2 linked regions of the Sus scrofa genome follow. The protein of the gene in region 2 purifies or fractionates together with the protein of the main gene of each other region. This does not show direct contact. Links are inferred from orthologs where the notes say so. Each region holds a gene or a part of one and is shown on either strand. Other genes may lie near its edges.

What was found.
Region 1: the proteins of MTMR9 (region 2) and ATPIF1 purify together in Homo sapiens (affinity purification with mass spectrometry; 5 studies listed by BioGRID and IntAct, with this or other methods). This does not show direct contact. The link is inferred for Sus scrofa from reciprocal best matches to the Homo sapiens genes MTMR9 and ATP5IF1.

Annotation. Positions count from the first base shown.
Region 1 is NC_010448.4:85,305,766-85,309,712, forward strand, and holds ATPIF1 (ATPase inhibitor, mitochondrial precursor), read left to right. Parts: upstream 1-1,476; 5' UTR 1,477-1,506; coding exon 1,507-1,593; intron 1,594-1,687; coding exon 1,688-1,779; intron 1,780-3,180; coding exon 3,181-3,328; 3' UTR 3,329-3,446; downstream 3,447-3,947.
Region 2 is NC_010456.5:14,499,467-14,502,978, reverse strand, and holds part of MTMR9 (myotubularin-related protein 9), read right to left. Parts: intron 3,457-3,512; coding exon 3,293-3,456; 3' UTR 1-3,292. UniProt on the Homo sapiens protein: Acts as an adapter for myotubularin-related phosphatases. Increases lipid phosphatase MTMR6 catalytic activity, specifically towards phosphatidylinositol 3,5-bisphosphate and MTMR6 binding affinity for phosphorylated phosphatidylinositols.

The DNA of each region.
Region 1 (3,947 bases), on a different chromosome or scaffold from region 2:
AGTGCTACTATGAACATGTGTATGAGTATCCGTTTCCAATGGGGGGGGATATACCTAGAAATGAAGTTGCAGAGTCATACGGTAATTCTATATTTAACCTTTTGAGCAACTGCCAAGCTGTTTTCCACAGTAGCTAACCCATTGGAGGGCTACAATTTCTCCACATCCTCACCAATGCTTATTATTTTCCATTTTTTAAAAAATTATAGCCTGCATCATAGTGCTTGGATCAATCTTTTGCACAAACTCAGCAGGACCCTCCACTGGATACCACCTAGGAAACAATCAAAAAATAGTAGTATCTGAGGACTAAAATCAGAGTGTCTGAAATGGGAATGGCCCTTAAATATATAGAAACACTCCAAATTTTTATCACCAGGTAGCAGGCTTATGAGTGATTATTATTTGTTTCCTGCTTTTGTGTTTTTCCAAGTTTTCTGTAATGAACATTTGGAAATGTACCTTGCAGCCATTTCCTTCTACTTAAGTCATATAACCCAGGGCTGGTATTTTTCAAACCAAAAGATGATCAATAAAAACAGTTCCACACTTTCATAGAAAGCCAAGGAAGATATTTTTAAAGTCATGAATAAGATCTAGCCCAACCCTCTCATCTAAAGGAGAAAAAATTGGGCCCAGAAAAGGAAAATAACCCAGGCAAAGGCCATAAACTACTATTATCTTGATCACATTTGTTAGATGGCCAAGGAAGGTCAAGGCAAAGCCTTACCTAGACTCTGCTTTTCCTCTTCATTGCATCACATTGCCAAAAGTCCTGTTATACAGCCCATTTGATAACATATCAATGCATCCTGCAAATATTAATTCAAAGCCTACTTGACTGACCAAGGCCCTATTAACTTCATAAGATCAAAGGTGCAAGAGAGAAAGAACAAAATAGGAGGCTAAGATAGGAGGTCAGGGAAGTTTTCTCTGAACTGACATTTAAACTGAGACTTGAGAGTGAAATGCCATCGCAACTAAAGAACACTAACCATATACACATACTTTTTTAAGAAAATTTGCTCACAAGTCTTGATGACTAAGTCAAGGAATCCTGGACAAAGCTGCCCACTCTCACTAGCGTAGTACCCATCTTATTGATGCTAGTAGTCCAGGAAAGGGAAGACTTCCTTTGGGTGTTTAAAAATAACAACTTTAGGATTGGAATCGTAAGGGAGGGATGGACACATGCCTAAATCTAATAGCTTCAGGAGCCGAAATCTCGCCTTCTGACCCTCTGCTCCTGTTTTTCCCAATCTCCTCCATTGCTTTCCTCCAGTCCTTTGACCCTGGAGCCCTTGCGAGTGGTTGGCTAAGAATAGGCCCGCCTCTCGGTCAGGATTCGCTGTAAGCCACAGGAACCCCGCCTCCCCCTCTCATGATTCGCTATTCCTGGGTTCATCCCGCCTCTCCAGAGAAACAATTGGCTTCCCGGCCAGCAGCGCCGTTAGCGTACAGAGGAGCTGCACCTCGGGTCACTGGAGAGGTACTGCACTGACAGCAATGGCAGCCACGGCGTTGGCGGTGCGCTCGCGGATCGGCGCGTGGAGTGTCTGGGCCATGCAAAGCCGAGGCTTCAGCTCTGATACGGTACGCCGGCGGCAGTGCCCGCTACCCCATCCCTGAGCGGGGACTCCCATCTCTCCCTCCTCGCCTTTACCAATGCTCCGGTCTCTCTCCGCAGCCAGAGGGTGTCCGCTCCGGTGCGGGTGCAGTCCGGGACGCCGGTGGAGCCTTCGGAAAGAAAGAGCAGGCTGATGAGGAACGATACTTCCGGTGAGAGCCAAGGGGCCCAGAGACCAGCCCTGGAAGTCTCACGGCCTTCCAGTCCTTCTTAAACTGCCAACGGCCCCACCCTGCTGCCCTCCCTGGTGTTCTGTGGCGTCCCATCTCCCAACAGAACTTCCCAGCCCCGACCCACTACACTCATCGTTTGATGGCCCTACTGTTGCCACCTATAGGGCGTTCCCACTGCCCTGCCGAATCCCAAGGCCCCCAAACCCAAGACATTTCCACCTGCGAGTCTTCAGAATTCGCCAACACGGCTCAATTCTTCCTGAATCATTTACCATCTCCGCCCGTGGAGTTCTCTCCGCGTCATGCGAAACGCCCCCCAGATTCCTCCCAGAGAGTCTAGATCCGAAGGTTCCAATTACGTGCAGACCCTCTGAGCCTATCCCTCCGGCCTCCCCCACCCATCACCCAGGCCTTCGCTTTGCTAGCCCGCATGGATGGATTCCCTGACCTCAGACCCTCTCAGCCATTTCTAGATCCTCACACCTCTCCAACTTGCCTGAGCTAGTGGGTTGCAGGAGCATGTGGCAGCTGCTCCTGGTTGGAACCCTCCCCGCTTCTTGTGGGCTGGGCCTATATACTCTGTTTACCAACCTTGAGTTATCTCACAGGGACTGCTAACCACAGTGAGGAGCAGTGTGGAATTAATCTCGATTCTTGGCCTATCTTCTCACTTCTACCCTCTCCTGCTCACTCTTAAGAATTATCACCATAACAGCTACCATACCAGAGAGACAAGGTGCAGCCCTTAGAGACCTCTAATTGGCCTCCTACATTTTATAGTTAAGGAAAACTGAGGCCCATATATGGCCGAACCAACGTTTGAATCATCCCTTCTTGAGACCTACATTGGACTGCCAGGCATTGCAAGAGTCCCCTTCTTTTTTTTTTTTTTTTTTTTCCCCCTTCATTTTGACCTTTACAGTGGGCCTTGCATTTCCCAGGCAAAGAAAACTGGGATAGGACACATATATTTGTCCTTTAACGGTACCCCATTGTACATTCCCCCCACCGTTTGCTCTTTTTTCACCCCAAAAGGGATTCTATGTGTTATTCTCTAATAAGTCCCCCTATTAGAGACTTATGTCACACCTTTCTGGAGTTTTCTACTCTAAAAAGGACTCTGAAGGGAATTGCTCCTTAGTGGTGAAATTTCAGACACTGGCACCAGGAAAATGGAATCATTATGGCCATCTAGAAATGATACATCTTAAGATGGAATATTCTTTTGTAGCGGGGCCTGAGAGGGTAGAAGAGGATGACCAGCCAGACCCCAATGGGATTGGGACTCCTGTTCTTTACCTTAGGTATTTCAGGTTATGCTTAGAGATCTCTTTAGGGTGAAGGATTAGGATTAAACCAAGAGCCACTGTGTCCTTGTAGAGCTCGGGCTAGAGAACAACTGGCAGCCTTGAAGAAACATCATGAAAATGAGATCTCTCATCACGTGAAGGAGATTGAGCGCCTGCAGAAAGAAATTGAGCGGCACAAGCAGTCAATCAAGAAACTGAAAAATGATGATGATGATTAAGTGCACACAGTTACCCATAAAATGGGCACCTGTTATTGCCCACTTCTATGTAGCCATCATTCTGGTTTTAATTAATAGCTATCTGTGTGCTGCCAACAAATTACAATAAATTGTATCAGTGCACTGTGTCTAATGCCTTCTACTATCTGCAGAGGGGTAGGGGAGCACACTGCTGGACCACTAGAATAAATCAGACAGGGTTCCTGAGGTAGGGGACTGGGAGATGAAGCACAGTGTGATGAGTGCTGTGCAACATGAGGTTACTGGTGTGACACAGAATGGAAAGGCCCCTTTCCATGTCTTAACGCCAGTCAAGTTATTCAGAGGTTCCTGTTGTGGCTCAGCAGATTACAAGCCCAACTGGTATCCATGAAGATGCAGGTTCAACCCCTGGCCTCATTCAGTTAAGGATCTGGCATTGCCCCAGGCTGTGTAGGTTGCAGATATGGCTCCGATCTGGAGTCTGGCTGTGATGTAGGCCCACAGCTGCAGCTCTGATTGGACCCCTAGCCTGGGAATTTCCATATGCCACAGGTGCACCCCTCCAAAAAAAAGAGGTTTTCAGAGAGCTTGGATAAACCTCAATCCAAAGTGTAAGATCAAGAGTAGCCTGGAAAAC
Region 2 (3,512 bases):
ACTGACAATTAAAATAGTTAATCTTGAAACCGGTAACTCCAGGAATTACATCTCTAAGCAGATTTTTTTTTTTCTTTAAATGCAGCAAAATGTTGCTCCTATTTTATCCTTCAAGAGATAATTACTGGTCAAATCTTTTCCATGATATTGACATTTTTTTAACATTAAATACTGACTGAATCAAAGACTAAAATCTCACTAAATTTCATCCTTTAAAATTTAAAGCAGTGACATCACCTCTACAAAATCAGGCTTCAAAGAAGTTTTAAAATTCTCCATACAGATCTTAAATGACTATTGTCTTCCAAAGCTTTCCAAAAAATCTCTTCCAAAAACTTGCTTCAAAGGCCTAATTTTTCTTAGGAATAAAATTCATTTACAGGTTGTCTTAAGCCTATCAGGTTTTACAATTTCTGCTTGTCTTCTTCTCATATTAATGAAATCAAAATGAACATTTTTGAACAATTACTGAAGTCTACCACCCAAAGAGTTTCAACATTTGTATACAATCAACAAACTATTAATTTAAATCTAAGGATCCCTGTACTGATGAAAGAGGACTGTAAGCAATCCTTTGTATTTTTACAATATTCTTTGTGGGGCCCCCTTTATTGCATCCGCAAAATGTAAACCCAGCCTTCACTATAAATAAAGGCAGAAGATGCCTAATGTACATGAATTTGATTATATCTCACTCGATTATTACTGGCTTGTATGGGGCAATCTGCATGCTCACTAATTCAGCCACCATTCTCTTCATTAGAGTTTTTAAAGCCATATTTATCAAAGATAATTCTCCAAATAACCTTTAATAAATATCTCCTCATGATATTATCCATTGTATTTATTCTTTTCATCCAATAGATGAGCAACTTCATAGTATTACTAAAAACCCTCTTCAAGTTATATTGCTTTTAAAGCATTTGTCTTTGACAGAGTTCTCAAGTTTGGGTAAACTTTAGTATTTGCATTATTAGATGACCCCTTTGAAACTGCGCTGATACTATAGTTTGTTTTTACTCCCTATAAACAGCACTGAGGTTGGACAATCCCTAATTATAAATTAACACTAAAACTCATCTTGTCCAACAGTTTATGATTGCTGTCTCAATAAGAGAAAGAAGAACTGAAACACTATGCTATTGTTGTACTCTGGCTCACAAAGAAAATGTTCATCAGGAAGACAGGTATAAAAATGATAGCATACAGTTTCTCCATGACCAAGCTTAATAAAAACTCCCTCCAAAGTTTCCACCCACAGAAGAGTTATGGCCACATAATATCACCAGTGAGAGTCACTTCTAAAGCATCACTTTAAAAAAAATCTCTAGATGGTTTTCTTTATGGGCCCATTAAATGAGGGGAAAAAAGGCTCCTTCAATTTTGAGGGTCCATAAAAAAGCTAGACTGTTTCTTCTTTTAAAAAATTAATACAGGTGTTCCCTTATGTTATATCAGGTTAAGGACCCAGGCTTGTTGCTGCAGCAGCTCTGGTTGCTGCTGTGGCACAGGTTTTATCCCTGGCCTGGGAACAATTCACATGCCGTGGGTGTGGCCAAATAGTAATAATAATAATAATAATAATATAGACATTTCATATAGTACACAGATATCTATAGCCAGAAAGTCCATCTTCTTTGCGCCTTGTCTTAGCCTACAGGCGAGGGCTTTAATGCCTCAAGATTCATAACTATAGCCAAGAAAATAGGTCAGGAATAAAACTGAGCTTAGAGGAGAAAGCAGATAAGTTTACTAGAAAAGAGCTCTGACTATGGATCCATTGTCCAGCCTTTTGCTACAAGTCTGAGGAAACAGAAAAAAGACCAAGCTTGGGAAACTAGAGATAGAAACCTTTCTAAGGTTTCTGAATGTGGCCATAGCTTTTGCTAGAGTTGATTTTGAAGAACTGTATTTTTAACTCAATATATAGCTTTAAAGCAGAGTTCAGTTTTACTGTTTTACAATGAAATGGTTATATACAGATGGGATGGAAACGGTATTAAAGATTATTCTTCAACTACTCTTTTAAAAGAAAACATAATTGATAGTATTTGTTAAAACGAGCAGTGCCACAAAACAGAAATGTATATGGAAAGCACCAAACCACAAACTTTTTATAGTTGCAGGCATATACCAACCAGCATAGCATCAATATAGTCATCAATGTTTCTGTAGCATTGAAGCATTTCGAATTGGCTTCTGAAGTTTAAAACATAGCTCTATCATGTTCATAAACTTTCCCCTCCACTTAAATTATATTTGCCTAACATATAACGGACAAATCAAGAGTCAAGATAAATTTTCAAAAGGCTCAAGCCAACATGAAAAATTTAAACTCCTAGAATATTTAAAAATAAAACACAATGAAACACACACATACATACACCAGTGCAATAAGAACTTCAGACAAGGGCAGTGCATCTCTGGTTTAAGGAAACCACATTTGTTGCTTAATTATAACAACCTCTATTCTAAATGATGGTTTAATGTTACATCCAGCATTTGATACACATTTAATACGTATGGTCAAAACCCTGAAAAACCAATTCAACAGTAATATGATATCTTATCAGTAACAAATTCCTACTTTATTTCTATATTGCACATACTTTTAGTGTCTACTGTTAAAATAAATTTATCTTCTTAATGTAAATATCTGAGAATTATACCTGTTGCCCTTGTAAAAATAATTTACCTTGAGTAAATATTCAGATTTTACTTTCTTGATAAACTAGAATGAAGATGATTTCAGCTTTGTCAGTCCAAAACTGTTTTAAAGAGAATGGCTCTTTATGTGGCCAAGATATTGGAAATGGCATGTTAAACACAAAATTCTTGGTTTACTATCCATTTCAGGTTTGAAAAATATTTCTATATTTGGAGTGTTTAAAAGTCTGACCCTTTTTTAAACTAACGAATACTCCCCAAAGAGATCAATCATATCCTTGACTGGTCTGGAGCACTGTTTGGAAAAGTAGACACAGAGAAAAAGCTTATGTGTGATGAAATGGCATATAACACAAATAGCATTAAATGGGTCACCTGTTTCACATAAAATAAAATGACTAGCACCTCCTTCCTGCTCCCAAAGCGTAGAGGCCTAACAGGCCACGTGAAACATGAGTAAGTACAGTAAGCGTCATTCATAAAGTATTGAGGAATCCGTTACATCAGAAGGTCCTCACATCTAAAGCCTTAAGTTCAAGGCTACTGTGTGAGGGTGAACTGAAGGGCAAGGGAGAGAGGGGGGATACTGGACGGATGGTCCTTAGAGGCCTGCAGGAATCTGGAATCAGGGACTTTCCTGCATCCCGTCCTCAGTCTCCAGTTCTGCCAACTGCCTCCTAAGGATATTTACTTTTGCTTGTAATTCCTTGTTATATTCAATGATGTTAACCATCTCCTCATATGCTTCATCCAGATATTTGGAGGATCTGTTCCAACGCAGGAAAATACCTATTGAATCCATGAAAGGAAAACAGAAAGGGAAAAGATACACACAATGGATTGGC